Sus scrofa: one gene and its partners. The protein of the gene in region 1 binds, or shares a complex with, the protein of each later gene. Links are inferred from orthologs where the notes say so. Each region holds a gene or a part of one and is shown in the gene's direction. Other genes may lie near its edges. The genes, in order: TGFBR1, TGFB1, GDF11 and TGFB3.

Region 1 (7,487 bases):
CTGAAAAATCTTATATCTTTGAACTTGCTCCTTGTATACAATGTAAACTGGTAGTTAGAATTAGAGATTGAATCTGTTTTATTGGTTTCCTGAAAATATTATATACTTTCTACATATTATATACTTTCTATCGTTATCACATCAGAAGGCATATTAGATTATCTCCTTTTTGTGACTTATGGCTGGTGATGTATGTAAGCAGTGATTATTAATAGCTACTACCAATTTGTGTTATTTAATTTAAAAATAAATAAAAGCAGTGATCATAGTCTGACCAAGTCCTTAGTTTTCATTTTCTTCTGTCTTTAACACAGTTTGGCTTCTCTCTCAGCCCTTAAAACAACCCTTTATTATGTTCTGTAACTCTAGACGTTATTTCTTAATAGCTGCTTTCTGAAACTCTTAATTCATATGAAGGCTTTAATTCTACAAATAATAATTGCTCCCTCGAAGAACTTGCCCACATTTCTGGTTTTGAACTCCATGGTGGTGGTGACTTTCAAATCTGCATTTTGAGGCTCAACCCTCACCAGCCCCAACACTGTTTAGGCTTGTTCCAAGTTGTAAACACACTGACTGCTGTGCCCTGAACTCTTCCCTTTTGCTCAAGCAGCAGCCAAGCCGGTGCTGTCATCTGGTGGTCACCGTGGGAACTGGCAACCCTGCTGGCTCTTCCCTACCCACACCTTTCTTCTTGGTCAAGGTTAAGGGACTTTGCCTAGAATCTAGCCCCACCACCTCCATTCCCTTTTCCTTTAACTTTCTCTTCCTGATTTAGTTAATTCCACCTCAGACAATCCTTTATGTGTGTATAGCTTCTAATATATCCTTTTTCCTTCTACCGCTTTTGTCAGTTACCTCAGGAAAATCTCCCATTCTTCCATCTGACTATGTTCCTATTTATTTCTTGTATTTGTGAACCTTTCAGAATTCAGGTATAGTTAAAAAGCATGCATACCACACTCAATTGTATGTCAATAAAACTTTAAAAAAAGAAATAAAAGTAAGCATGCAGATGAAGCTAGTGATGTACCTGTATTAAGGAAAAGAAAAGGTACAAGTTTGGACAGAATCAGTTTATAATAATTTATCAAGTAACAAGTTTATAAAGAACTAGTATCCCGAATATCTAAATTCTTTTGAAAATACCTCCAGAATCTTCTGAAAACATTTCCTTCCTTAATCTCTTCTAATCAGAATCACTTTCCTTCAAGTAACAACCTTCAAAATATAGAAAATTTTTTATGTCATTTGAGAGTTTTTTCTGTTGTACAGCCAATAGAGAAGGAAATAGCACATTTTAAGTTCTTATGTGCCATGAGTTACACTAAATGCTTTAAAACATCCTATTTTAAAATCTTTGTCTTGAAAAGTAAGCTATTCTTGTTGTGTAAAAGAAGAAACAAAGGCTCAAAAGTTAAGAAACTTGTCCAAGGTCACATAGTAATAACCACACCCTGGATTCCAACCCTGGTCAGAATGACTCTAAATGTGTGTCTTTTACTGAATTGTCCTATCTACTAGTATTGTTGTAATACTTTTTTTGCTCTCATGAGTTTGTGAAATATATGGTTTTCTAGCTACTTCTAGGTTAACTTAGGCTTTTATGGACCAGCCTAGGCTAGAAGCCCAACCAGAATATTTACCGTGATTCTCGTGGGAAAATACAATTCAGATTCATGTATTAGCTTTCAAATGAATTTTTGGAAGAACTCAGATTCCTAGGTTGTTGAGGTTCAAAATCACCTTGTGTAAACTGGATTCAGTCCCAGCTTTTTCTCCTCTCAACATTTTCATTTCCTGTCCTAGCTTTCTCATGTGTCAGTGACACCATTATTTTTATACTTTTCTAACCTGGAAACCTTGGAATCATAATCGTCTTGTCTGGCTTTTCTGTGAACTGTATACATAGTCTGTCATTAAAGTTTGAATTTCTCATTTAAGCTCACTTTCAGTTTGTCCCATAATATTCCATTCCCATTGCGGCCACACTAGGTTCCAGATACTTCTCATCTTCTCCCCTCGCCCCGCCCCCCTTTCTCATTTCCCTTCCTCCTTCCAGAACAACCACTGAGCACCTAACCTGAACCAGGCATTCTTCTAGGCAGCTTCGCTACTATCTGTGTAGACTTAAAGTCACCATCTTTGAACTATGATTCTTTCTCTCTTGAATGGGATTAGTTATCTTAATCACAAGAATAGGGGGCTTACTTTAAGGATCTAAAGGATATGTACATAAAAGTATGAGACAAACTGAAAATATGAAGGAAATATATACAGATTTAAGGTACCAACATACTGCAGTCGTGTGGTTCAGGATTGAGAGGGAAAGTGAGAACTTTTAATACATCATAAATGTTCTAAACCCATCTGAAGTATTGTTATTCTACTTACAGATAATGGTACATGGACTCAGCTTTGGTTGGTGTCAGATTATCATGAACATGGATCCCTTTTTGATTACTTGAATAGATACACAGTTACTGTGGAAGGAATGATAAAACTTGCTCTGTCCACAGCAAGTGGACTTGCCCATCTTCACATGGAGATAGTTGGTACCCAAGGTAAGTCAAAGCAGTCTTGTTATTAAGCTTTAAATGTCCTTGGATCTGATGTCCACTTGGAAAAGTTTTGCAAGAAGTCAGTCTAATGGGAGATGTTTAAACTGAGTTTTTAGATGAGAATACTGAGTGAAGTAAGTCAGAAAGAGAAAGACAAATATCACATAATATCACTTATATCTGCAATCTAATATACAGCACAAATGAACCTTTCCACAGAAAAGAAAATCATGGACTTGGAGAATAGTCTTTCTGTTAAATCTTAAGAGTTAGGAATCTAGGAGTTCCCATCGTGGCACAGAGGAAACGAATCCGACTAGGAACCGTGAGGTTGTGAGGTTCCTGGCCTCGCTCAGTGGGTTAAGGATCTGGTGTTGCTATGAGCTGTGGCATAGGCTGGCAGCTACAGCTCCGATTAGACCCCTAGCCTGGGAACCTCCATATGCTGTGGGTGTGGCCCTCAAAAAAGACAAAAGACAAAAAAAAAAAAGTTAGGAATCTGGGATTTTGTTGAGAGATTCTTTAGGTATTGTAACAACACTGATATTTTTGTGTCTTAAGATTGTATAGTCTTGCTTATGATTTTTGAGGATCTTGATTTAATTCAATGAATTTTATTCTTAATTGTACAACCATCAATTACAACCTAATTTTAGAACATTTCCATCCCCAATCCCCAGTCCATTCTCCCCACTCCCCCTGCAGCCTGTCCCCTGTAACCATAAATATTTCGAAGTCTGTGAATCTGTTTCCCTTCTGCAAGTAAGTTCATTGTATCCTCTTTTTGGATTCCACATACAAGTAATAGCATATAATGTTTGTGTCTGAGGATCTTGATTTTGGAATTCAATTTATATGTAGTATTAAATGAAATATGAAAATGCTCGGTAAACATCAACATGCTAGAAATTTTATCTGACCACCTAGTAATTATATTTGACCTTATGATAAGAAGACTGCATGGGACAGTTTTGTAGTTGAAAAATTGAATACTAAGTTTTGGTTATAAAATTTTTATGCTATGTTTGTGCCATAATATCAGATACCAGTTACATTTTCTGCTTTAATGATCATCCACTTGCTATTGATGGCTCCCACCCCCTACATTACTACACACATCACGTATGCTGTTTTACTATTTCAGCCAGCCCTGTCTTTGTAATTTTTATTGTTGATTTTTTATTTTTGAGTTATAATTCACATACCATACAATTTACCCATTTACTGTATAATTCAATGGTTTTTAGTATATTCACAGAGTTGTGCAGCTATCACTACAGTCAATTTTAAAACATTTTCATTGCCTCAAAAAGAACTCTATTTCTCCCCATTTCTTTAGCTTGAGGCAACCTTTAAATCTACTTTCCATCTCTATAGATTTGCTTATTCTGGACATTTCATATAAGTGGAATCATACACTAAGTTGTCTTTTGTGACTTGCTTCTTTCTCTTGGTATATATTTTCAGGGTTCATCCATGTTGTGGCATTTATCAGTACCATTTTTTATGGATATACCACATTTTGGGTGTCCATTCATCAGTTGATGGGCATTTGGATTATTTTTCCACTTTGAGCTATTGTGAATAATATTGCTATGAACTTTGGTGTATAAGTTTTTGTGTGGATATATGTTTTCATTTCTCTTGGACATACACCTGGGAGTGGAATTACTGAATCAGATAGTAACTCTGCCAAACTTTTTTTCCAAAGGTGCCTGTACCCTTTTAAATCCCACCAGCAGCATATGAGGGTTCCAGATTTTCCACATTATAATTATATTTTAATAGCACTCCTAGAGGCTAGTATTAAAGGTACATTCTAGTTGATTGGCAAAGGAAGTGATCTAGATTCTTGGTTGTTGGATTTGAAAATCAGTTACTAGGGTTCCTCTAAAAAATTCAGAGGGTGTCAACAAACAAATTAATATCTTTAACCCCCCCCCCGTCTTTAAGTGTTAGAGTTCCATTTTTTGAGCATCATATTTTAGAGCATCTTATTTTCTCTGCTTTCTTTAAAGGAATTAACTTCAGCAACTTTTTGTGTAATGATTCACTTTAGGTTGTTTAGTAATGGCTCAGTTATTGTGAGTGATGGAGGCCAAAATGCGTTGATAGTGAGTTTGGAGGAGAGGCTTTTGGACCCAAGTTGAGATTTGTGATTGGTATTACCCTTTATGCAACCATGTCTGATTTTTTTTCTTCTTCATTAGGAAAACCAGCTATTGCTCATAGAGATTTGAAATCAAAGAATATCTTGGTAAAAAAGAATGGAACTTGCTGTATTGCAGACTTAGGACTGGCAGTAAGACATGATTCAGCCACAGATACAATTGATATTGCTCCAAACCACAGAGTGGGAACAAAAAGGTACACTTATGGATACACTGTAATGTTCTTAAATCAACTTCTTTTCCTTCTTATTCCTATATACTTATCTTTCTGAAACTCAGCCTTGTACTTCATTAGATTGCCCACAGGTAGAACTACATCTCATGGTCTTGCCTGCTCTGAAGGCAAAGTTACCTGACTTAAAATGGTACCTGCTGATGAATGGTGCCCTTGCAGAAAGTATTACCACTAGTTCTGTTATCATATAATAGCTAATATTTATAGGGTACCTGCTCTGTACCAATCATTGTAATGGGTTTTTTATATAATCTCATTTAATGCTTTCCTCAAATACTGTACTGTAGTCAAACTGTATTCACATTTTTATTTCCTGAAAACGTGTCTTTCTCTCTTTTAACTTTAACATGTGCTGTATCCTAGAGCAGACTTTCTCCTCCTGTTTCTCTAACTTGTACTTAATCTTCCTTTCTCATAGGAATCCTTTTCTGGACTGTTAGGTTGTCCTTGCCAAGGACTCTCATAATATGCTGAACTTGGACTATTGAGGCACTTGGCACATTACAGCTGTCCATTTATTCGTCTGAATATCCAATTGGACCATAAGCTGCTTGAGAGCAGTCTTGTATTCCCAGCATCCATCACAGTGCCTAATACATTGTAGGTCTTCAGTAAATATTTGTTGAATCTATGAGTACTCAAAGAACATAGGTAGGCAGGTGTCACTACCCTCAATTCACAGATGAGGAAACCATCTCATGGAGGTTAAGTAATGGGGCCACCCTCATGGATGGTAAGCTGCAAAACTGAGAGTTGAACCTGGGCCTTTCTGACCCAAAAGGATTTACTCTGTGTATCACAGCATTTGCCACATCGTAGCTTCAAACTACTACTTTGCACTTGAATAGAGCCAACCTTTATTCTATCTCAACTGTATTTATCATTTATGGATTCAACAGGGCTCTCAGAACTGTTGACTCACAGTTCCAGGACAGTGGTTGCTACAGGTCTTCCTGGGTCCTAATCTGTAACCTTAGTAGAATTTTTGAAACCTCAGAACCCTAAAATTTGGTGTCAGTAGGAGGGCTGGCTGGCATTCATTTTTATTTATTTCGTTCCCTGGAGTATGTCCTTGTCCTTCTTTTTATCCTGTTTTAGTGAGAAGACTTCTGGATTAAAATACATAATCCCTGCATAGTACATGACAAAGTAGGTGGTGTACATTGGAATGTTTATGATAGTCAGTTGTTACATGTGTGTCCTTCATTGGAAACAAAGATCTTAAAGGCAGACAGCATGAAATTGCTGTTTCAGCTTTTCATGAGATTTAGTTGACATCATTAATTTGCAAACCAGTACAGATATTTAATATTTTTTGAGTCTAATATGATCTATTGTAATATAGTCTGTATATGTCTGTGTATAAAGAGATGTCCAAAAGGAGTGTTAAAATCTTAATATGTGTGGCAGTAATGGAATGATTTTCTCCACTTTGTACTTTACGTACTTTGGGAACATTTCTGTAAGTAGTAGTAGGCATTAAAAAAAAAAAAAAAAAACAAAACCACCAGCGGGAGTTCCCATCGTGGCTCAGCAGAAATGAGTATCTGACTAGTAACCATGAGGACACAGGTTCGATCCCTGGCTTTGTTCAGTGGGTTAAGGATCCAGCATTGCCGTGAGCTGTGGTGTAGGTCACAGACGTGGCTCGGATCTGGTGTGGCTGTGGCATAGGCCAGCAGCTACAGCTCCGATACTGCTAGCCTGGGAACCTCCATATGCCGTGGGTGCAACCCTAAAAAGACAAAAAAACAACATCAACAACAACCCCAGCAGAATTGCTGAAAGGGGGGAAAGGTCAAAGTTAATATTGATTACCCTCCCCCCTTTCAGGAGTAAAAATTTATGCAATAGTTTAAAAGTAATGTCACTATTCCATAAAATAAAATGCTGACTTCTTTTTTAGGTACATGGCCCCTGAAGTTCTAGATGATTCCATAAATATGAAACACTTTGAATCCTTCAAACGTGCTGACATCTATGCAATGGGCTTAGTATTCTGGGAAATAGCTCGACGATGTTCCGTTGGTGGTAAATCTCCCCTAACCCCAAACATTTTTATTATGAACAAAAGTTGTTCAAGAATTGTCCTTTTTATTGAATGAAATTGCAGTTAGCAATCTGAAATTTATATTCCCCTGGTGATCACTGAGAGTGTCAGAGAAAATAAAGGAGGTAAATGACATGCCTTATTCTAGTGTACAGCTTAATCCTAATTTACAGCTTTATCCCAATGTAGTCTTTTTCTATTTCCACTTAAATCTTGGGAAGCATCCAAAACCAACCCCTTGTTGTCTTGGAATATAGAAATTGAGAATGGATGACTGCTTAAGAGGCCACCCAGGAAGCTATTTCTAGCCTGGGTCAAACTGATTTTTTCCCCCCGTGATTATTATTTTCTCCATTTTGATAGCTGGAAATTACATACACAAATATACTACCATTGCATTGCTTTTTAAAGTAAGGTTAGTTTGAGATTAAGCACTTTCAGTGTTTACTCCAGAAGCAGTCTGCTAATCC
Region 2 (7,487 bases), on another chromosome or scaffold:
CCGTGCCATGCTGGGAGCAGCGAGCGACTCCCATGTCCCCGGGATGGAAGGCAGAAGGCTGAGTGAGCAGTCGAGCCATAGGGGGAGAGGTGGGTGGGTGCGACTCTACAAGATCGGGGTAAGAAAACCGAACTGGTATGGGTGAGGAAGCCCCACGTGGGTGCCACGCGCGGGGGGAGGAGCCTGCGCTTCCGGAAGGGGGCAGGAGGACTACGTAGAGCTAGACGCGGAGAGCCAGGACCCCAAACTCTTAGTTCCTCTCTGGGAGGCTGGGGAAACCCCAGCGTCCGGCCGCCTCGCCCTCCCTCCCCTCCCTTTCCTTCCCGTGCCTGGTGGCGGGGGGTGGGGGGGGGATCGCGCGCGGAGCCCGAGGCGAGACGAGACAGGTCCGGTCCCCGCCCTCGCGCCGGCGGCGCCTCCCGCCCTCTTCACCCCCAGCTCTGGGCGGGGCTACCGCTGGGCCGGCCCCTCGAGCACCCGCGCGGGGACCCAGGCGTCCCGCGTGGCCCGGAGGCTTGGGGGCGCCCCCTCCGCCTTCGCTTTCTTCCTTGGCCGTGTAGTTGTGGGTCTCTGGCCCATTTGTGCGCCCAGTTGCGACTTCAGCCAAATGACGCCTCTACCTACTCGCATCTCTGTGTCACCTTTTCCGTCCTGGTCGCCTCACTTACGTTGTAGAGATTTTTTCAGCACTGACACCTTCAATCCCTTTATGCCTCCATCTGGTCTCTGAACTCTACGTCTCTCTTCCTGTGTGTCTCTATCGCCCATCTTTGCCTTTCCATCTCTCCCGTCGTGCTCTGTCACTGTCTGAATCTTCTAGTTTCTGCCTCGCCACCTCTTCTTTCTCTTTTTCTTCTCCATACCCCAATCTCCAGCTCTCCCCTCTGACCGTTCCTGGCCCTTCTATCTCTCTTCCTCCCTGTTTGTCTCCCCGCTTGTGCTCTACCCTCCCTTTGGGGTCTGCTGAGTAACCCCTGGGCCAAGATAGGGCTTATTTGGCGGGTGAGGGGGGGGTGACTGGCCTGGCTAGACAAGGACTAGTAGGGGAAGGAGGCCCCCAGAAGGGGCTTCCTCTGTCCTTTCTCATCAGATGTCTCCAGCATGTCCCCCACCCCCCATGCACAGGCGGAAAGCAACTTCCCCAGTTGACCAGGCCTTCATGGCTGGCCTCCTCATTCCCAGCCCCCAACTTTTTCTAGATTAGAAGACACTCTTCCTAATTTTCTCTGTTCCCTTTCCTCTGCCCTTGAAGCCATTCCTACCTAGAATGAACTTTGCCATCTCTATCCAGCTGAGGGAGGAAGCAATTATTAGTAATAACAATAACAAGAGTAAGGTCATATTAGCAGGGAGGCAGCATAGTCTAGGGGTTAACAGAGTCTCTGGAATCAGACTGCCTGAGTTGGAATCTCCATTCTGCAGTTTCCTAGCTGTGTGGTCTTGGGGCAAGTTGCTTCATCTCTTTGTGCCTCAGTTTCCTCACCTATAAAATGGGTATAATAACAGTATCTTCGTCATGGGGTTGTTGAACACACACATTGGTGTGACCACAGTATGCAGTCTCTTTGCGACATGCTTTATCTGCCATCATCTCACTTATTTCACACTGTCATCCTGCAGTCAGTCCTTGCCTTACAGGGGAGAATCTGGCACAGAGAGAGGAGACCAAAGGTACACAGTGCTTCAGTTAGGAGAGCCTGGGTTGAGAAGCAGAGAACTTGATGTCAAGTTGATCTTTCCTAAAGAATAGGAAACTGGAGTTCCCGTCGTGGCACAGTGGTTAACGAATCTGACTAGGAACCATGAGGTTGAGGTTCGGTCCCTGCCCTTGCTCAGTGGGTTAAGGATCCGGCGTTGCCGTGAGCTGTGGTGTAGGTTGCAGACGCGGCTCGGATCCTGCGTTGCTGTGGCTCTGGCGTAGGCCGGTGGCTACAGCTCCGATTCAACCCCTAGCCTGGGAACCTCCATATGCCGCGGGAACGGCCCAAGAAATAGCAACAACAACAACAACAAAAGACAAAAAAAAAAAAAAAAAAAATGAATAGGAAACTGAGGCGCCAAGAGGGAATGTGACTTGCTCAAAGTCACAGAAGGCAGTAGAGGCACACAGTCTGATCCAAATGCCCTCAATCCCTATGCAATGTAACTTGCATTTGGGGAGTTCAGTGGCTTGGCAGTTTAAGAAACTGACTAGTAGCCATGAAGATGCGGGTTTGACCCCTGGCCTTGCTCAGTGGATTAAGGATCTGGCATTGCCACGATCTGCGGCTCCCTCTGGCATTGCTGTGGCTGTGGCGTAGACCGGCAGCTGCAGCTCTGATTCAACCCCTAGCCCAGGAACTTCTGACCCTAAGAAAGAAAAAGAGAGAAAAAAAACCCATAACTTGCATTGGCGGCTGTAAGTGCTGGGGAGGCCTGAGTAAGCAGAGCAGCCCCCACCCCGGTGCCAGCCTCGTACTGAGGGCACACTTCCTGCATGGTGGGAGGGGAAGGTGGATGAGACCTCGATTAAAGAGGAAGAAACAAACCCAGAGAGAAGCCCGGTGCCCAAGGTCGCACAGCTAAAAAGCGTCTGGTGGGGGGGCTCCAACCCAGTTCTGTCAGCCCTTAGACTTGGGGTGTGCCAACCCTCCTGTGCCTGTTAAGCCCTAACATCCCCCCTCTCCGCTCCTGCCTAGAAATCTATGATAAATTCAAGGGCACCCCCCACAGCTTATATATGCTGTTCAACACGTCGGAGCTCCGGGAAGCGGTGCCGGAACCTGTATTGCTCTCTCGGGCAGAGCTGCGCCTGCTGAGGCTCAAGTTAAAAGTGGAGCAGCACGTGGAGCTATACCAGGTGGGGGTCTGGGCCCCAAAGGTGGCCTGGGCTGGGGCAGTGCTGTGGTGGCTGGAAGGCTGGTGGCTACCGAGATCCACACAGATGGACCCCGAAGGATGGGGTGGTGGGCACAGACACAGTGCTTTCCGACACCTATAGCCTTTGGACGATAAACATTTAGAAGGCCTGAATCTTAGGAGTTGGACTCGAAGAACTCAGGACTCCTGAAAGTTGCAATCTCTGGAAAGGTTGGAGACTCAAAATGCTCTGTCCCACACAGCAGCCACTAGCCACGTATGGCCATTTAAGTTGTTCAAATGAAATGAAAGAGGGAGTTCCTGTTGTGGCTCAGCCGTAACAAACCTGACTAGTATCCATGAGGTTGCAGGTTTGATCCCTGGCCTCGCTCAGTGGGTTAAGGATCTAGCATTGCCGTGAGCTGTGGTGTAGGTCGCAGACGTGGCTCAGATCTGGCGATGCTGTGGTTGTGGGGTAGGCCAGCAGCTGCAGCTCTGATTAGACCCCTAGCCTGGGAGCTTCCATATGCTGCGGGTGCAGCCAAAAAAAAAAAAAAATTAAACGAGAGAAAAAATTCAGTTCCTCAGTCTCACTGACCGTATTTCAAGTGGCCCATAGTCACATGGGGTTAGTGGCTGCTATTTTGGACACCACAGATAAAGAACATTTCCATCAACACAGAAAGTTCTTTGGATAGCTCTGTTCTAGAAGATTTAGAGTCTCCAGGAAGATTGGGTCCTCCAGAAGGACTGGATTCTCTTGAAGGTCATGTGAGCCAGAATCCCTATCAGGTAGAATGTTCTATTCCATAGCAGGTGGTAGACTCTTTTCACAAGGAACTTTTAGTGTTAACTTCTTGGAGTCTAGAGAACCTGGCTTCGTGCTGCCGACTTCCAGGGGTCATTCCACAGGGAGGGCAGGCATCTGCAACATCTAGGTTGGTGACACGTCAGACTCCTGGGTTTGTAGAACTTTAGTCTCATAGAATTTCTCAGGCTGATTGAACAGGTAATTCCGGGGTGCTCCCCGAGGGCTGGAGTTATGGAATGACTTCTAACATAAGCCCCCAGAAACCCCTATAGACTTTTGGTGTTCGGGTGGCCAAATTTCCAGAACTGTATAGTTAATAACCCTCACGATGTCTGGAAGGAGAATCATAGCCTCGTGGGCTGTCCAGGCTGAAAGGGGCCTGGCATTTCACCAGTGGGGAAACCGAGGCCAAAGCGGGAGAGGGGTTTTCCAGGGCCATGCCTGAGGTCCAGGGTGGAGGCTGAGCTGCCCATGTGCCTTGACCCCAGCCTGGGGCTCTCCCTCCCCTGCGGGCTGCTCTGGGCCTGGGCAGTTACTGGGGGGCCTCTGTGTGGATGTCTTCGAGGGGGCTGTTGGAGGGCCGGTTTGGGGAGCGGGTGGAGGGAGGGCTGCAGTGGACATGGGGGTGAGTGGCGGCATCTACCCACTGTTTCCTCCCCAAATTCATCATCCTCCAGAAATACAGCAATGATTCCTGGCGCTACCTCAGCAACCGGCTGCTGGCCCCCAGTGACTCACCGGAGTGGCTGTCCTTTGATGTCACCGGAGTTGTGCGGCAGTGGCTGACCCGCAGAGGTGAGGACCGCTTGTCTGCCCCACCCCTATTTTGTAATAGCCTTGAGCCCATTGTTTGTCCTGGGATTGCCCTGCCTAGTACCCCCCACCCCATGTTGGTGCCAAAGAGCCCGGGCCTGGCCCTCTTCCCCAGACACTCAAACCTGAGTGATGAATGGTTAATCCGTTTCCTGAGCACCTGCCCTGTGCTGAGTGATGCTGCGGACACTGCAGTGACCCAAACCGCCCCATCCTTGCCCTCGTGGTAGGGTGAGGGGATTTGGGGAAAAAACCTAAAAAAGCTCCCTGGTGGCCTAGCTGTTAAGGATTCAGTGTTGTTGCTGCTGTGGTTCACGTTCAGTCCCTGGCCTGGGAACTTCTGCATGCTGTGGGTACGGTCCCAAAAAGTGAAAAATAAAAACCAGGTAGTAATGTCCCAGAGTTGGACAGGATTGGGATGGGGAGCTCAGAGGAGGGCCTCTGAGCCAGACCAGGAGGTCAGGGAGGGCTTCCTGGAGGAGGGGACATTGAAGTGGGTGTCTGGGGTTTGAGTGACCCAGCCTGGGGAGGAAGGAGGGACAAGAGTGATCAAGGCAGGAGTTCCCATTGTGGCTCAGTGGTGACAAACCCATCTAGTATCCATGAGGATGTGGGTTCGATCCCTGGCCTCGCTCAGTGGGTTAAGGATCTGGTGTTTCTGTGAGCTGTGGTGTAGATCACAGACATGGCTCAGATCCTGCATTGTTATGGCTCTGATGTAGGCTAGCAGCTGCGGCTCCAATTCGATCCCTAGCCTGAGAACCTCCATATGCCACAGGTGTGGCCCTGAAAAGAATAAAACAAAAACAGGAGTTCCCGTCGTGGCGCAGTGGTTAACGAATCCGACTAGGAACCATGAGGTTGCGGGTTCGGTCCCTGCCCTTGCTCAGTGGGTTAACGATCCGGCGTTGCCGTGAGCTGTGGTGTAGGTTGCAGACGCGGCTTGGATCCTGCGTTGCTGTGGCTCTGGCATAGGCCAGTGGCTACAGCTCCGATTGAACCCCTAGCCTGGGATCCTCCATATGTCGCGGGACCGGCCGAAAGAAATAGCAAAAAGACAAAAATAAATAAATAAATAAATAAATAAAATAAAACAAAAACAAACAAGAGTGTTTGAGGCAGAGGGAGAGGGTGTGCAGAGGCCTTGAGTCCAGGGAGAGCCTGACACGCCTGATCTGTCTGGAAGAGAACTGTGTCTGTCCCGTGCCGCCTGAGTCCACAGTGCTCAGGCCTCCCTTCCTAATCTCCCTTTCACTCATCCCTTCATTCAGTCAGTGCCAGCAGGTCCCTGCTCTGTGCCTGGCCCCGTGCTGGTGGTGTGGGGGTCACTCCGTCACCATCTCTAGGCTTGCCCTCATGGGACCCACAGCCACTTCTAGACACCTAGGAAGTCTTAGCAGAGCCCTGGCTGGCTGTGATGGCCCCAGTGATCAGGGCCAGGGGGAGGGAGGCTGTAAGTGCCGTGGGAGCCCAGAGTGGACACCCAGACCCATCCGGAGGGGTCCAGGAGGGCTTCCTGGGTGAGGAGGATTGTGTTGAGACTCATGGGAAAAGGGATGGTTTGACCAGATGAAAAGATGGCGGTGAGAGAGCAGGTGGGCACTGGGACGAATATCCTGGGCTGCTGGACAAAGGTCTTGGTCATTGCTGAATCCACAGCCCCCAACACTGTCTGGCACATAGTAGGAGCTTAGGAACGCATTCACTCATTCATTCAAGAAACCTTTCTCGGAGTTCTCTTGTGGCTCAGCGGTTAAGGACCAGTGTTGTCACTGCTGTTGTGGTAGCTCTGGTTACTGCTTTGGCGTGGGTTCGAGCCCTGGTCAGCCCTGGAACAAGAGCCTGGGCGCTTGTGTCCCAGCCCCGCCTTTTCCCACCTGGGGTGAGTTACCCCCACTTTGTGGGCCTTGGCCTCCTCATCTGTCTGGTGGGGAGCTCTGGTGAAAATCAAAGGAAAGAATGCACACAGAGCATCTGGAACGGGATCTGGCACCCAGCACACTCAGTAGATGTTTGTTGTTGCGACTGTGGGCCAGCCGAGCAGGGAACAAGAAAACAAGGATTCCGCCCCCATGTATCCTGCTTGCCACAGAGAACAATGAGGGAAATAAATGGCCAAATACAAATATCAGAGAGGGTGAGTGCTGTGGAGAAAATCGATGCTGTCACCGCCTGGGAGGGGCTCCGGCCTAGATGGCCTCCTGGAGGAGGAGGCAGTTGAGCTGAGACCTGAAGGTGGAGGAGGCTGCAGGCTAAGAACTGGAGCAAGAGGATGCAGCGGGAGGCAGACAGGGGAAGGGGCAGGAAGGAGCTCCCTGGCCGCCCACCCTGGAGAGTTGCTACTTCCTTCCACCTCCCCCAGGAGGAAGGAGCCGCCCCCTCACACTGGCTTCCCTCTTCCCACTCCCGCAGAGGCTATAGAGGGTTTTCGCCTCAGTGCCCACTGTTCCTGTGACAGCAAAGATAACACACTCCACGTGGAAATTAACGGTGAGGCCCGCCTCCCTGGCCCAGCCCTGTGCCCAGCAGTGACTCTGTGCGTGTGTGTGCACGCGCGTGCGCACGTGCGCGCGCGTGGGCGCGTTCTTCCCCTGCCCACCCCCTACTCATCCATCTGAGTGTGTGTGTGTATGTCTCCCCCAACCCTATCCGCTCCCTGACTCCTAAACCAAAGCAGGGTTCAATTCTGGCCGCCGGGGTGACCTGGCCACCATTCACGGCATGAACCGGCCCTTCCTGCTCCTCATGGCCACCCCGCTGGAGAGGGCCCAGCACCTGCACAGCTCCCGGCACCGCCGAGCCCTGGATACCAACTACTGCTTCAGGTGAACCTTGCAGCCTTCCGCTGAGGCCTTCCGGGCCCTCCTTAGCATCCGCTGAGCAGGCAGTGCAGGTTGGGTACGTGGCTCGGGGGACGATGTCCGAGGCCTAGGATGCTGGCGCGTGCAAACTAGGGGTCCTTGACTGTTGAGACCAGGTTGTGGCATCAGAGGATGTTGAACACTGAGACTGTGGGAATTCAGTA
Region 3 (6,467 bases), on another chromosome or scaffold:
TCAGATTCATTTCTCCTGTGCCACGATGGGAATTCCTCTATTCTTATTTTCCTATCTCTAGTCTCTCCCACGTTTCTTCTCCTTTCCCTTTTCTTTCTCCACATGTCTCCGTCCTGTCCCTTTGTAGTACCAACTGTCTTCATATCCACTGGGGAGAAGTGTAAGGTGATTCCTGGTGGTGAGGATGGGGAACTCTGCCTGAAGGAACCAAAGACTTAGAGGGATGGGGCCCTGGAGACCAGTCCCCCATTTCTAGGCCTTGGGTCAGCTTAGGTAGGGACATGTGTTTGGAGTTTAGAGAACTAACAATAAACCAATTGAGAAACTACTACTATTTTCATATTCTTTATTTAATGTTCAGCACTCCTATGAAGCAAGGATTACCATCTGTATCACCGAGAAGTCTGGAAAGTAAGGTCAGATACTGGTTAATGAGTCAGGCAGTGATTAAATCCACTTCAGTTTAGTCAAAGAACAGTGTTTAGATGCCAAGAAGAACTTCAGGCACTTGCCTATATAATTTAAGATCGAGAGTTTAGGGAGTTCATTCAACATGGATTTATTGAGCACTGCCTGGTACTGTGGGCAACAGTATGGACAGTGTCTACCCTCATGCAAATTAGTACCTAATGGAGTTCCCATCGTGGCTCAGTGGAAACGAATCTGACTAGCATCCATGAGGATGCAGGTTTGATCCCTGGCCTTGCTCAGTGGGTTAAGGATCTGGCATTGCTGTGAGCTGTGGTATAGTTTGCAGATGTGGCTCGGATCCCACAGTGCTATGGCTGTAGGGTAGGCCGGCAGCTACAGCTCTGATTAGACCCCTAGCCTGGGAATCTCCATATGCCAAGGGTGCGGCCCTAAAAAAGACAAAAGACAAAACAAACACAAAAAAAGAAATTTGTACCTAATGGTGAAGACAGGCAGGAAAATCAGATAGACCCTATGCTGAAATTAGGCTTAGTATGCTATTTCAGTTGCTGCTTGTCACTCTCCATCTCACCAGCAGCCCCAGGGACTCTCCTATCCCTGAATCTCCACTCCCCAAACCCTGTCCCATTGCACCATCACTGCAGCTCCAGCAGGAGATTACCTGGGAGGACTACCAGTGCCCTGGGACCTTGGAGAAGAACCAAGGGAAGGAAAGCTGCAAAAGAATTTTGTGTCTCGTGTCCTGAATATATGAAGATCACTAGGCACTTTCCTCCTCATCTCACTTGAAGTATCCTCCTTCTCCTAGGGTGGGAGTGTGGGATGGATGCTGATGGCAGACAACAAATGATAACTTCTCCATGATCATGCAGACGTGGTCGTGATACATAAGGACCTAAACTTTCTCATCATCCTTACATGGCTCTGGGAGCTAGTTCCTGATTCTTCCTCTCAGAGTATATTTAGAGTGGGGATGGATATTCCTGTCCAATAGAAACATGATTTAAGGCATTCTCAACTGACATAAGAGATTAGAAAGGGAAACTGAGAGGAGCTCTAGTGGAAGCAGAGGCAGATAGAGAATTCATTCTTTAAACACAAGAAGGGTCAGTGTAGGGTCCAGAACAAGGGGCAGTGGGCCAAAATGTAAAGTTGGGATATTAAATCTTTGTAAAGGCTTACTGGCGCTGGACTGAGAAACTGAAGGAAGCCCAGGGGAGAAAAGAAGACTGATTACATTTGATTTGGTGTGTTGAATATTATTTCTGATGGTTTGGGAAAGTAGGAGAAAGAATACATGGAGGTAGTTTTTCCTTTCCTTAAAAGTGGAGACAGGGAGTTCCCGTCGTGGCGCAGTGGTTAATGAATCAGACTAGGAACCATGAGGTTGTGGGTTCGGTCCCTGCCCTTGCTCAGTGGGTTAACGATCCGGCGTTGCCGTGAGCTGTGGTGTAGGTTGCAGACGCGGCTCGGATCCCACATTGCTGTGGCTCTGGCGTAGGCTGGTGGCTACAGCTCCAATTCAACCCCTAGCCTGGGAACCTCCATATGCCGCGGGAGCGGCCCAAGAAATAGCAACAACAACAACAACAAAAAAGACAAAAAAAAAAAAAAAAAAAGTGGAGACAACAAAATGGTGATGAGGAAGCAGCTGAGGGAACATGTTCTCAGGGTCAAGGGATGTTGGAGTCAAGATGCATGGGGCTTGCTTGAGTAGTACCATTCTTCTGGGTGTGTTATTTCTGGTGGGAACGATGTGAGAAGCCTAGATCTGACTGCTGATTTACTTCAAGGAATGAATTTAGTCCATGCTCCCTATCTGGACCTTGGGTTATCCATTCTTTGAGGCCATCTGTTTTGGGGGGCCTGTGCCAGGCTCCACCTGGCCACCAGACAAAACAGAGCAGAAATGGGGAAAGGTAACCTGAGGACAGCAGGTGTGATAGCAGGTTTGCCTCCTATGGAGAGCATCAAAGATTCAGAACAAGTTGGAGCCCTATTTGCTGGGCAAAGTTGGAGAAAGGGAAGACAGCAGGGTGGAAGAGTTCTCTAATAACTATCTTTGCAGGCTATCTGGTAGAGGGGAACCTGTGCATTAGGGCAAACAGATTAAGGAAGGGGTGCAGATCCCGTAAGGCCCAACAGAGCCATCATCCTACTGGGGGAGCAGGGTGCTATTCTAGGCTCCGGTGACATGGTAGTTAACAAGAAAGCAGAGGAGAAAGGTAACACGGGCTGAGGAGTCCAAGTTGCCGACACCCCCCAAGGCTGCTGACGCCCTCCACAAACACCTTTTGCTGATGCTGTGCCCCCTTCTCTCTTATCAGCGGACCCTGCAGTGCAGACAGATGGCAGCCCTCTCTGCTGCCATTTCCACTTCAGCCCCAAGGTGATGTTCACAAAAGTACTGAAGGCCCAGCTGTGGGTGTATCTACGGCCTGTGCCCCGCCCAGCCACAGTCTACCTGCAGATCTTGCGACTGAAACCCCTAACTGGGGAAGGGACAGCAGGGGGAGGGGGCGGAGGCCGGCGTCACATCCGTATCCGCTCTCTCAAAATTGACCTGCACTCGCGCTCTGGCCACTGGCAAAGCATCGACTTCAAGCAAGTGCTACACAGCTGGTTCCGCCAGCCACAGAGCAACTGGGGCATCGAGATCAACGCCTTTGATCCCAGTGGCACAGACCTGGCTGTCACCTCCCTGGGGCCGGGAGCTGAGGGACTGGTGAGCAGGAAGCCTGAGACGTTGGCAGATATGTATAACCTGGCCCTGAGGAAGTGGGATGTTGGAAAAGGTAGACCAGGAATGCAAAGGGTGTTGTGTTGAGGGTCTGGAGCTGACTCAATAGAGTTAGGTGGTGGTAATGGGGTGCTATCACTTTTCAGAGACCCAAGGCAGGTAACGGCTGAAAACTGGATTTGGGTGAAGGTGAACAAATTCATGAGACAAAGGTGGGCTATTGTTAAGACTTTGAGCTAAGGATGAGGGCCAGGTTGCCAGGAGAGGGAGAATTCGGCAAGGTGAGTTGAGGAGAGATGGCTAGCTGGCAAGAAAAGTGGGCAGAAGGCAGGGCTTGGGGATGGGAGCAATGGAGAAGCTGAGAAATCAATAATCTCTGTTCCGATCCCCTGTTGAGGGGCAGGTGACAAAAGAGCAGGGAGTGGGAGCTCTTCAGGGCTCTCTCACATGTCTTTCTTCTCTCCCTCACCCCAGCATCCTTTCATGGAGCTTCGAGTCCTAGAGAACACAAAACGGTCTCGGCGGAACCTGGGTCTGGACTGCGATGAGCACTCAAGTGAGTCCCGCTGCTGCCGATATCCCCTCACAGTGGACTTTGAGGCATTTGGCTGGGACTGGATCATCGCACCTAAACGCTACAAGGCCAACTACTGCTCTGGCCAGTGCGAGTACATGTTCATGCAAAAGTACCCGCACACCCACTTGGTGCAACAGGCTAATCCAAGAGGCTCTGCTGGGCCCTGCTGTACCCCCACCAAGATGTCCCCAATCAACATGCTCTACTTCAATGACAAGCAGCAAATTATCTACGGCAAGATCCCTGGCATGGTGGTGGATCGCTGTGGCTGCTCCTAAGGTCGGGGACAGAGGATGCCCCCCCCCACAGACCCTACCCCTAGACCCCCAGCTTTGACCCCCTCCCCCAGGCCCTAAAGCTCCCTCCACCTCTTCTGATGAACATCACACCTTGTTCCCTGCCCAAGCAGTGTGCAATACAACAGAGGGAGGCAGGTGGGGGATTGAGGGGTGAGGGGTTTGAGGGAAAGGGGGAAGAGGAGGGGGCATGGTCAGGTGGGGAGTGTGTGAGGTCTGAGGTGAGAAGGTTTGGCAAGAAGACTGAGAGATGTAGAGACAGAGTAGAGCAGAGGGATAGAGACGGAGGAACAAAAAGCAGCAGCGAGAAGGCAAAGGAATAGAGATGCAGAAGAGACAGAGACTAGGCAGAGATAAACAATGAAGAGACCGAAATGGAATATTAAGAGAAAGCCCCACACCAAGCCTCCTTTCTTCCAGTGGCAAGGTGAGGGGCTTGGTACGGTCTGGGGAGATTCCCCCCTGACTACCATTCTCAGTAGGAGAGGAAATCCAGACCCATTCTTAGCTTCTTCCCTTTCTCCCTCCAGCAGTGGCTAGGGGAAGGGAAGTAAGGGCAGGGGCAAACGTGAGGATTTTGGAACTTTATTTATTTATTTATTATGACTTTTCATTTTTTGGTATTTGGCTTTACTGAAATAGAAGGGCCCCTGCCCACTGTGCCCCATTTGTCCCTTATTCCCCAAACCCTGTCCTCCCTCAATACCCACCTACTTAAGCACTTGTTTAAAAGCCTCCAGGGTTGAGAACGGGAGTAGAGGGCAAGAGGGCTGACACATGGAAGTTTCCAACCCCAAATCACCCTACTTAACCTTCCTGAGCCAAACGGGTTGAACTGAATTCCAGCAATTGCAGAGACAGTGAGAGGTTAGGGTTTAGAAGCTTGGGGGTGTGGGGGAGGGCGCTCAACATCCAGGATCTATATGAGAGCCACTAAACTAACCCTCAGGTCTACCCTCACTGTACTGACTTATTTAGGCAAAGGTGTGGCCTGCTTATGCTCAAAATCCCCCCAGCCAAGAGAGAGACCAAAGAGCCTGTGGAATGCCTCTGCTCCCAGCCTCTGTCTTCAGGTTAATAAAAAGAAGAATAGAGAGAGCCCAGAGTCCCCAGGTCTGGGAAGGGTTAGGAGAGGTCAAGAAAGGAGTTGTAAGGAGGCTGAAGGTTACAGGGCGTTTGAATCCAAATCACTGCTCTGGGCTAGGGAGGAAAGCCAGCAGACCAAGGTGGAAGGGATTCTGGAGGGGGGACATTTTAGTCCCCCAACCCCAAAGCTCAGGGTGGAAGGAGAGAGAACAAGGGAGCAGAGTGTCTATAATTATTTTTATCTTTTATTTTTGGAACCTAGCAGTACCTGGCAGCAGGGAGGGGACAATAAAGTGGGGGAAAGCATCTGACAAGGCCAGTTAGAGCAGAGGACAGGAAGGATGGAGACTCCCTGGTTTGGAAAGCTAGGAAGCAGGCAGGTACTGGTTGCCACTCCAAGTCACTAGCTGGGCCTATTCATTCCTCCACAATCCTGACCCACCCTCCTCGGGACGCACTGTGCCTCGGTTTCTTCCCCTCTATGGAATGAGAAATAGCAGCACCCGCCACAGCCAAGAGATGAATTCTGAGCACTTACCACGGGCACTTTATGGACATAAAATACCTCTCGCTGTGGGACAGATAACCAGGGCACCAGAGTAGTGGTGAAGAGATGTGAGGCTGAGGAGTCACAGGCTTCAGAGTACAAGTTCCCCTCTGCCTCCCTCCCAGCTGGACAGTGCCTGAAGCCAAGGAGTTGAGAATCTCCTGACCCATACCCTATCCATACCTCACCACCAGACCTCTTGGTTCCAGACTAGAGCCTAGAGGATGTCAGGAGAGGAGGGGAAAAGAACCTTCAGCAAAACTGTCACTCTAAGTAGAGCCAGCAGTTATGGGTCTGATGCAAACAGTGCTGAACTAAAGTAAAGCCCAAGTTGGAGAGCTGATCTGCAAGGTTGGTTCTTCACAAGAGCATGACTTTCCCGCCTGGCCCAGCTGGTGGAAGGGGAAAAGGTATGTGGCCACCCTTGGAAGGGTGATGTTGGTGAGTTTTGGCATCTTATTCCCATTCCCATAGTGAAGAAGTGAGATGAGGTTATTTTGGTACAGGAATGGGCAAGGGCTGTTAAACATTTCAACTCGCCTCCTCCCACATAGCAGCTAAGCTAACCCCCCAGCCTCTCCTCTCTGGCCCTGTTCTTCATCTTTCCTTCTGCCCCAATCTTGGAAAACCAAGACCCACCTGACCATCAACACCATTCATATTTCCTTGGTGGAAGGAGAGGAACAGAGAAGTGAAGATCAGAAGATGCCTCCTCCAAGGCCAAATGCCCGTGTCTCTTGATCTTGGCACAGGGTGGGGGTTGGACAAGAGGCATCAGGTGACTTCCTT
Region 4 (8,197 bases), on another chromosome or scaffold:
CCTGAGACTCCATTTCTATCTTCTTCCACAGCTGCACCATCACCACCTTGGGGCCACTTTCCAAGCCTTCACTCCTACTTCTTCCCTGACTTCCTGAAAGCAAGAGGTGCTCACTGTGTGCAGAAAGAGGCCCTGGAGTAGTGTCTTCCAAACCTTGCACTGACTCACCTGCAAAGTTTGCTAAAAACAGATGTGAACTCTGATTTGCTAGAAGTGGAGCCCAGGCGGGTATAACTTCAACAATTTTCCCTCCTGTTTTGCAAGTATTTATTTAAAGGCCTCCACAAGGCCTTCTCAGATTTTAAACTGCAACATTTCCCCAACCTAGGCACTTCCTCTCCTCCTTCCCTGCTTTATTCTCCACCATGGCATGGACCTTTTACCATTATTACACTGCTTACACATTTATTTCATTTATTGCCTTCCCATTGCCCCACCTCCACCTCGAGAATATAAAGTCCATAAGGGAATGGCTTTGTTTCATTCACTGCTGCATCCACCGAGCCAGGAACAGGGCCTGGCATATAGTAGATATCAAAATATTTCTCAAATGAGAGCTGAATTCCAGAGGCAGTATAGCATAGAGTAGTTAAGTGCATAGATTAACTGGCCACAGATTTCCTGGGTCCACATCTCAGTGTTGACGCTCACTAACTATATGACCTAAAGTCATTCAAAATAATTTACTCTAGAAAAAAAAGTTGTTTTAATTTTTTAAAGTTTTATTGAAGTACAGTTGATTTACAATGCGATCATTTCTGCTGTAAAAAGCAAGTTACTTTAAGCTTTCTGCATCTAGGAATATTTCCCAAACCTGAAAGCCCTTGTTAAATATTACCACCACCACTCACCAGCGGTGTACGCTCGAAAATCGGTCCGTGCCTCCGTTTCCTCAGCTTAAATTGATCAGCCACTGCCCTGGGGAGGCTGAGAGCATCCCTTCAGTTAGCGGCCTAGGAACCAGGAGCAGAACAGGCCCTCGCAGGAAGGGTCAGGAAGGCTGGGGCGAGGCGGGATGGGGTGGCGGCGGGCAGCAGCACTGATTCCCAGGAAAGTGATCAATTCAGAGACATTCCTGAGTTGGCGGGGCGGGGGCAGGCGTTGTGGCTTGCCCTCCCTACGTTTTTGATGGGAAAAGACCTAGAAGCTTAGGCTGAGAAAAGGAACGAAAGTGGAGAGAAAACCTCCCCTCACCCATCTGGGAAATGGGCTCGGGCCAACTGCTGACTTTGCGCTCGCTGGCGCAGCTCCCCGCGGAACCCTCGGCGGGGAGGGAGGCCAGCAACATCTGGAGGACATTTCTGCGAGAGCCGCTGCAGAAGGGGCTCCGGGAAGGGAGAGGTGCACTTGTACGCACCTCGGGCCGGGAGGGAGCCTGTTCCCCAGGGCACCTGATCTTGTTTTCTGCACCCTCCTTCGCGGCCCCATCTCCCCAGGCCCCCAGCCTTACCCCCAAACCCTCCCGACCCCGGGGGAGCCCCCGTCACTGGCGGCCTCGCCTCGCCAGAGGGCACCCTCGATCTGCCGGAAAACGCCACCATTTTTCAATGCCCCTGGAGCGTCGCCAAGCTTCCGCGAGCCACCCGACTCCAATCTTGTCAATGAAGAATCGGGGCCAGCATCGCCGCGGAGCTGAACCCAACTCCAACCCCGCTCCCAGGCCGGGCGTCACCCCCACCGAGGGTGGGCACGGCCGCCCCTCCCACGCCCCGCGCCCCTCTCCCCCCGCCCCGTCCCTGCCTACGTCCCGCCAGGCCGGGGGGCGGCCGGGGACGCGGGGCCTGGGAGGGATCGAGAGACCGGCCGAGGAGGGGACGGACTGACAGCTGGCGAGAGGGCGAAGGAGTCGGGGGGGAGAAGGAGGGAGGGGATTCATCGGAGTAACTTTCCAGAAAAACAGTCAACGTGTAGCAGGAGTGACTCCAAGAGGGGAAAAAAAGTTCAGTTACCACGTCGATCGAGAGGACTCGCAAAGTATTTTTCAAACGGGCTCGGCTTTTCCTGTGCCTGTTTAAAACATTAAAATCGTGCAGCAAAAGAGGCTGCGTGAACTGGTCCCTCCCCCCCAATCCCCCACCTCCTTTGCCCCCCCCCCCGCCCCCGGGCCAGAAACGTCATGGGAGGGAGGTATAAAATTTCAGCAGAGAGAAATAGAGAAAGCAGTGTGTGTGCATGTGAGTGTGTGAGAGAGAGGGAGAGGGAGAGGGAAGCTAGAGGGAGAGAAAGGGAGGGAACCAGAAAGCCAAGTCCAAGGGAATGAGCAAGAGAGGAGGCGAGAGATAGGGGAAGAAGCATGAGAAAGAAGGAGTAACAGCTTTCCGGAGGAGGCATGCAGTGAACCAACCGGCTTCTGTTTTATTCTTCTTTTCCTTTTTATTTTTATTTTTTAAGAAGCAGGGACCAGAAGCAATGGCCGAGGGAGAAGACAAGCCGAGGTGCTGGTGACCTGGGCGTCCAAGTGGATTATTGGGGCTACTCTCCAGGGGCTGTCCCCTTGCATTCCAATTGCACATAAGCCCGCATCCCAGCCAATGAAGATGAGAGGCAGCATGAACAAAGTCATTTAGAAAGCCCCCGAGGAAGTGTAAACAAAAGAGAAAGCATGAATGGTGTGCCCGAGAGACAAGTGTGTCCTGCGCTGCCCCCACCTTTAGCTGGGCCAGCAGCAGCCTAGCCCTGCCTCTCCCCACCTACTCACTGGGATCCGACTTTTTAAAAAAAAAATTTTTTTTCTTTGCTTTTCCATCCTCTTTTCTTATTCTCCTTCAGGGCAACGCAAAGATTTTGATTTTTGGGACCCAGCCATGGTCCTTCTGCTCCCTCTTTAAAATACCCACTTTCTCCCCATCGCCAAGCGGCGTTTGGCAATATCAGATATCCGCTCTATTTATTTTTACCTAAGGAAAAACTCCAGCTCCCTTCCCACTCCCAGCTGCCTTGCCACCCCTCCCAGCCCTCTGCTTGCCCTCCACCTGGCCTGCTGGGAGTCAGAGCCCAGCAGAACCTGTTTAGACACATGGAGAAGAAACCCAGAGCTTCAAGGCACACAGTCGGCTTCTTCGTGCTCAGGGTTGCCAGCGCTTCCTGGAAGTCCTGAAGCTCTCGCAGTGCAGTGAGTTCATGCACCTTCTTGCCAAGCCTCAGTCTTCGGGATCTAGGGAGGCCGCCTGGTTTTCCTCCCTCCTTCTGCACGTCGGCTGGGGTCTCCTCCTCACCAGGCCTCGCAGCCCCCGGGCCTCTCTCCCCGGCTCACGCATGAAGATGCACTTGCAAAGGGCTCTGGTGGTCCTGGCCCTGCTGAACTTTGCCACGGTCAGCCTCTCCATGTCCACTTGCACCACCTTGGACTTCGACCACATCAAGAGGAAGAGGGTGGAAGCCATTAGGGGACAGATCTTGAGCAAACTCAGGCTCACCAGTCCCCCCGATCCATCGATGTTGGCCAACATCCCCACCCAGGTCCTGGACCTTTACAACAGCACCCGGGAGCTGCTGGAGGAGGTGCACGGGGAGAGGGGAGACGACTGCACTCAGGAAAACACCGAGTCGGAGTACTATGCCAAGGAAATCTATAAATTCGACATGATCCAGGGGCTGGAGGAGCACAGTGAGTCCAAATTCCCGCTGGGGTGTCTGCTCTGGAGGGTCTGACCGGGAGTAGGGCGCTCCACAGAGGGGGGCCTGGCGGTGGCCACACAGCGGGGTGCCCAGGGTTCGAGGCCCCAGGGCTCCGGAGGTATGATGCGCAGCCAGAGGGCTGGGGAGGTGGGTGGGAAGAGGCAGAGGGACCTTCCTGGTAAGAGCTGGGTGCTGCTGGGAGGCCGGGAGCCCTGCAGTTGAGCGGCCTGCTAAACTCCCATCCCATCATTGACCGATTTTAATTCGGAGGGATGTGGTGCTGTCGCGTTAACACATGCGCTGTGGCATATGGGTCAGATAGGTATCTGTGAGCCTGTGGATGCCGCAGAGGGACCGGGCTGCTCTCTCCTAAGAGAGCCCTTGCAGTTCTATGAGGCTGGGGACCTCGGTCTGCCCCCTGCTTTTCACACCTCATTGTGACACGTCTCACGCTCGGTTTGTCCACAGCTGGGGACAAAGAGTATACTTGCCCCAAATTAATGCCTGTCCAGTTTTTTGAAGCCCAGGCAAGAGACAGCTTCTAGCTGTCTAGGCCTTTCAGTCCACGCGACACATGTGACCCACGTGAGCTGTGTGGGGGAAGGGGATGCACCTCTGTTCACGTGTACATGTGCTTTCAAGCGATGTGGAGCTCTGGCTTTGCACAGAAGACTGATTCATGTGTGCAGTATGGGCGTCTTCCAGGCCTGTGGACATGGAGAAAGCAGGGATGTGGCTCTGGATGTGTAGACGACGCTGGCAGCCCTTTTGTGTCTGCGTGTCAGGGAAGAGTGGGTGGGAAGTGTGGCTGTGGGTGCAGAGGGGACGTGTGTCTGGGAGTGTGTCTTCCCAGGAGGCTCCCGTCTGTGCTGCGAAGCTGGGCGGCTTCTGGGTGAGACGTCTGTGTGTGTTTGTACACGTGTGGAAGTCATGTGTGTTTACTGAACGGGGATTTAAAAAACCTCAATACAAGAAAGAGAGATTTGGCAGATGCTGAGAAACTGACAGCCCAGGAAGGAGGAATGTGAGCCACTCACGGGCCAGGGACTCTGGGAACAGCTCTGTTTGCTTTTCCTACCAGCAGGTGTCCTTGATGCCCAGGCTACCTCAGCCTTGGCTCACCTGGGAGGTGGGCAGTGCCTGGAATAGGGGTGGGAGAGTTGGACGGAGCAGGCAAGGTGCGTGTGGTCGGCAGGGGAAGTGCAGGGTCAAAAGGAACCTGCCTGGAGAGGAGGAGGAGTGGGCAGCCGGGGGGTGGACCAGCCCTGGCAGAAGGTGCCAGAGGCCTCACTGGGAGCGCCGGGCCCAGGAGCGTGTAGTTACCGGCGAGGGGCTCCTGATCCGATTTCCTATGGCTGCCTTCGATGTAGCTCCTGTGTGGGGTGGAGGCCGGAGAATGAGGCACAGCTCGTGTGCTCCCTTCCCGGGTCCTCTAGGCGGGGCTGGCTGGGGGTCTGACGGGGGTGGGGGTGGGGGTGGCTTATGGTTAGCAATTGAAGAGCTGAACCCGCAAACCCTTGGGAACACAAAAGCGGGAGATAGTGGCCTAAGGTTGGAGGAGGGTTGAAAGCTGACGCCTTCGGGAGAGGTATGAGGAGGGTCCAGGGCCAGAGGGAAGGACCTTAATGATCCGGGTCAGGAGGCGGAGTCCTGGGGAGGAGGGGTTCTGAGTCACCAGGGCCCATACAGCCTGGCATCTCAAGCTGAGACAGATGCAAGGGCACACAGGTGCCAGTGGACGTTTGTATAAAGACTCAGAGTACAGTTAGAGGACAGCCTTGTGGAAACCAGGGAAGGGCTGCACCGATGCTGGGCAGCACCATGGCTGCAGCACCAGGACCTTCCTTGAAACTGTAGTAGGTGGGGGCAGCCCAGAGCCGCCATCGGGCCAGAAGGAAACTTGGCACAGTGGGCAGGATGCTACTGGGATGTCATGGCGGGTCCAAGGCCCCACGGACCACGGGGGGTGCCAGTGAGGCTTGCAGGTGCAAACAGGAAGCAGGCCCAGACGCTGCAGCTGCTGGAGGTGACACAGAGTCTGAGCAGACGCAGGCCGGGCCCGCCCTGCAGCTGGCCAGGTGCTGAGCCAGCCCCAGAGAGGCGGACGCACAAGGCGCAGTAATTATAAAGAAGGCCTGGTGCAAACGTCCCACAGATGCTGAGCGGGAGCAGACAGCCATCATCCAAGGCCTGGGCGCGGGGGCCTGTCTGGAACACACGAGGGCGGGCTGGGGTCTGTGGTGGGGCACGGGCAGGGTCTGAGTGCCAGAGCTGCCGCTGCCGCCCAGGTGATGAGGTCACATTCTCTTCTTCATCTCATCATTCCCAGCCCCCTCTGGTGCCAAGTAGACAGGCTCTCACAAGGAAGTGACAGCAAGGGCCAGGGCAAGGAGACGGGGTTCCTGGACAGCCCAGTGCTAGAAGGAATAACTTCTGGTGGCACAGGAGAAAGAGCACCCAGGTGAGAGCAAAGAGGACGAGACCCATTCTCTGGCTCTGTCCTGTCCAGACAGGTAACCTCATCTCCCCATTTTACAGATGAGGAGCCTGCAGCGTGCATCAGTTAAATAATTTGCCCCAAAGAACCGGGACTGTAACCTAGACATTCTGTCTACAGCATGCATGCTGTTAAGGTGAGATGTGGGACTTCTCCTGTGGCTCACGGCCTAACTACTCAGCATTGTCTTTGCAACCGCCCTGCTTCGATCCCTGGCCCAGGAACATCTGTATGCCGCCATGCAGCCACATGTTTTTTTAAAAAAGATGCAGATGTATGAAACACACATTTTAAATCCCACCTTTAATCTTTAGGCTCCAAGAGCACTTTGGTTTACAATGGGAATGACTCCACAGGTTGGGCCAAGCAGGTGGGCCTAGGAGCTGCTACGTTGGTAACCTGGTGGCAGATTGCATAGGGATCCCTGGGGGTGTTCTTTCTTTGCTCTTTCTATTTTTATGTAGCCGGGAGATTGTGGCATTTTATGCCACAAAAATGTTCTCCTAAATTCGACAGAAGGGTTTTCTGGGTTTTCTTCATCTGCTGAAGAATTTCAAGCAGGTTAAGCAACTACACCATGTGGAATTGAGCAAGTCCTCTCTCTGTCCCTCAGTTTCCTTATCTGTAAAGTTAGAGATAATCTCTAAACTCGTTTTCAGCCTAAACAATTCTATGTATATCTCTGGGGCGATTCAACAGGTCTCTGCTGGGGAGTGAAGGCAAGCCTCATATTTACCTTACTCTCCCGTGTAAGTCTCCAGGATTTTGCTCTGGGAAGTTGGTAGAGGCTTTCTCCGACCCACGTGGTGGGGCAGGACACAGCTATTTCAGTTCTTTTGTCATCCTTGTTATTACCATATCACTAGTGTAGGTGTTGTTTTAACTTGTGGCTTGTAATTATCCATGTCTGGTGGCAGACTCTTGTTTTCATCCAAGGTTTGGTGCTGAGATAATGAGCAAAACCAGAGTTCATGAGCAAAGAGAAAACTTGATATTTTAGCATTCTTTGCTGGATGCTACCTTTACCTCTTGTTCATTCTGAAAATTAAAAGAGGTTTCATATTGAAAGAACTCACCTGTTCTAAGTGCTAACGCCCTCTGCGAACTAGGCCAGGGCTAAGGATATGTGAAAAATGTGGATTCCCAGGCCCCAGCCCACCCTTACAAAATCAGAATCTCTGGGAGGTGTTGTCTTGGGAAATCTGAATTTTTAACAAGCTCCCTATTGATTTTTAAGTTCACTTAAGATGCTTAAGACTCAGTGAAGAGAGCAAAGCTTGAACTTAGAGGGCTCACAACACAAGTGCTCACAAAGGCCAGGTGGCTGAAGCAAATGATCTAGAGAGAAACCTGCAACACAGGGACTGTGACAAACTGCATAGGACACTTGGCCTTGGGGTCCTGGAGGGAATAAGGTGTGTAGGGGAGTCGGCAAGGGTGGGGTGGGGAGTGGGGGGTGGGGGAACTGGAACCAGGCAGGTCCCATTAGAAGAGGCCATCCATTGCTCAGCTCCTGCCAATTTTTGTGTTTGGGAATGTGGGTTCAGCTTGACTAGATTTCAACTGCTTCCCAGAAGGGCAGAAAATCTGAATCTTTCTGTGAAAACTTCCAACTTTTAACCTAGGCTCAAAATGTGGGCTTCTGATTCAAAATTTTACAAAACGATGCATTGGCCAAACAGTATTTTAGTGGGCTAACATTTAAAGGTTAACCCATTTAAAGAGTAAATCCTTAAACCTGTGGTTTATCAAACTTCCACAACATCTGGACGCCATGGTACCCTTTGCAGAGCACTGTAAACTGTGGTTCTCAAGGCTGGCTCCATATTAGAATCATCTGGAGAGCTTAAAAAAAAAAAAAAAAAAAAAAAAGGCCCTGGACCCGCCCATACTCCAGTGATGTAGTGGGAATTTCTGGGGAGCAGGTCCAGGCATCATCTGTTTTTAAGCTCGCCAGGTGACTCTAAGGAGGAGCTATGATAAAGGGGGGGATCACTACTGCACTGTTATAGCTTGTCCCATCCTTGGAACCAGCAGTCATTTTTACCAGCAGAAATAATGGTACATAAGCAAAGGTACATC

The links.
Region 2: the proteins of TGFBR1 (region 1) and TGFB1 are in contact, whole or in part, in a crystal structure (PDB 3KFD), measured with the Homo sapiens proteins. The link is inferred for Sus scrofa from reciprocal best matches to the Homo sapiens genes TGFBR1 and TGFB1. Residues at the interface, in NP_004603.1 of Homo sapiens: His39, Leu40, Thr42, Lys43, Phe55, Asn68, Met70, Ile78, Phe84, Val85; in NP_000651.3 of Homo sapiens: Ala279, Leu280, Asp281, Asn283, Tyr284, Tyr328, Ile329, Trp330, Gln335, Lys338.
Region 3: the proteins of TGFBR1 (region 1) and GDF11 are in contact, whole or in part, in a crystal structure (PDB 6MAC), measured with the Homo sapiens proteins. The link is inferred for Sus scrofa from reciprocal best matches to the Homo sapiens genes TGFBR1 and GDF11. Residues at the interface, in NP_004603.1 of Homo sapiens: Ile78, Pro79, Asp81, Arg82, Phe84, Ala87, Pro88, Ser89, Ser90, Lys91; in NP_005802.1 of Homo sapiens: Phe322, Ala324, Phe325, Gly326, Trp327, Trp329, Ile330, Met382, Tyr384, Phe385, Asn386, Asp387, Ile392, Ile396, Pro397, Met399.
Region 4: the proteins of TGFBR1 (region 1) and TGFB3 are in contact, whole or in part, in a crystal structure (PDB 9B9F), measured with the Homo sapiens proteins. The link is inferred for Sus scrofa from reciprocal best matches to the Homo sapiens genes TGFBR1 and TGFB3. Residues at the interface, in NP_004603.1 of Homo sapiens: His39, Leu40, Thr42, Lys43, Phe55, Met70, Ile78, Phe84, Val85, Lys91; in NP_001316868.1 of Homo sapiens: Ala301, Leu302, Asp303, Asn305, Tyr306, Tyr350, Leu351, Ser353, Thr357, Thr360, Leu364, Leu368.

What each region holds. Positions count from the first base shown.
Region 1 is NC_010443.5:240,902,805-240,910,291, forward strand, and holds part of TGFBR1 (TGF-beta receptor type-1), read left to right. Parts: intron 1-2,396; coding exon 2,397-2,564; intron 2,565-4,771; coding exon 4,772-4,928; intron 4,929-6,873; coding exon 6,874-6,998; intron 6,999-7,487. UniProt on the Homo sapiens protein: Transmembrane serine/threonine kinase forming with the TGF-beta type II serine/threonine kinase receptor, TGFBR2, the non-promiscuous receptor for the TGF-beta cytokines TGFB1, TGFB2 and TGFB3.
Region 2 is NC_010448.4:49,339,504-49,346,990, reverse strand, and holds part of TGFB1 (transforming growth factor beta-1), read left to right. Parts: intron 1-2,678; coding exon 2,679-2,839; intron 2,840-4,326; coding exon 4,327-4,444; intron 4,445-6,874; coding exon 6,875-6,952; intron 6,953-7,136; coding exon 7,137-7,287; intron 7,288-7,487. UniProt on the Homo sapiens protein: Transforming growth factor beta-1 proprotein: Precursor of the Latency-associated peptide (LAP) and Transforming growth factor beta-1 (TGF-beta-1) chains, which constitute the regulatory and active subunit of TGF-beta-1, respectively.
Region 3 is NC_010447.5:21,194,804-21,201,270, forward strand, and holds the end of GDF11 (growth/differentiation factor 11), read left to right. Parts: intron 1-2,759; coding exon 2,760-3,227; intron 3,228-3,646; coding exon 3,647-3,720; downstream 3,721-6,467. UniProt on the Homo sapiens protein: Secreted signal that acts globally to regulate anterior/posterior axial patterning during development. May play critical roles in patterning both mesodermal and neural tissues. It is required for proper vertebral patterning and orofacial development.
Region 4 is NC_010449.5:99,148,903-99,157,099, reverse strand, and holds the start of TGFB3 (transforming growth factor beta-3 precursor), read left to right. Parts: upstream 1-2,994; 5' UTR 2,995-3,120; coding exon of another isoform or gene 3,121-3,261; coding exon 3,262-3,607; intron 3,608-8,197. UniProt on the Homo sapiens protein: Transforming growth factor beta-3 proprotein: Precursor of the Latency-associated peptide (LAP) and Transforming growth factor beta-3 (TGF-beta-3) chains, which constitute the regulatory and active subunit of TGF-beta-3, respectively.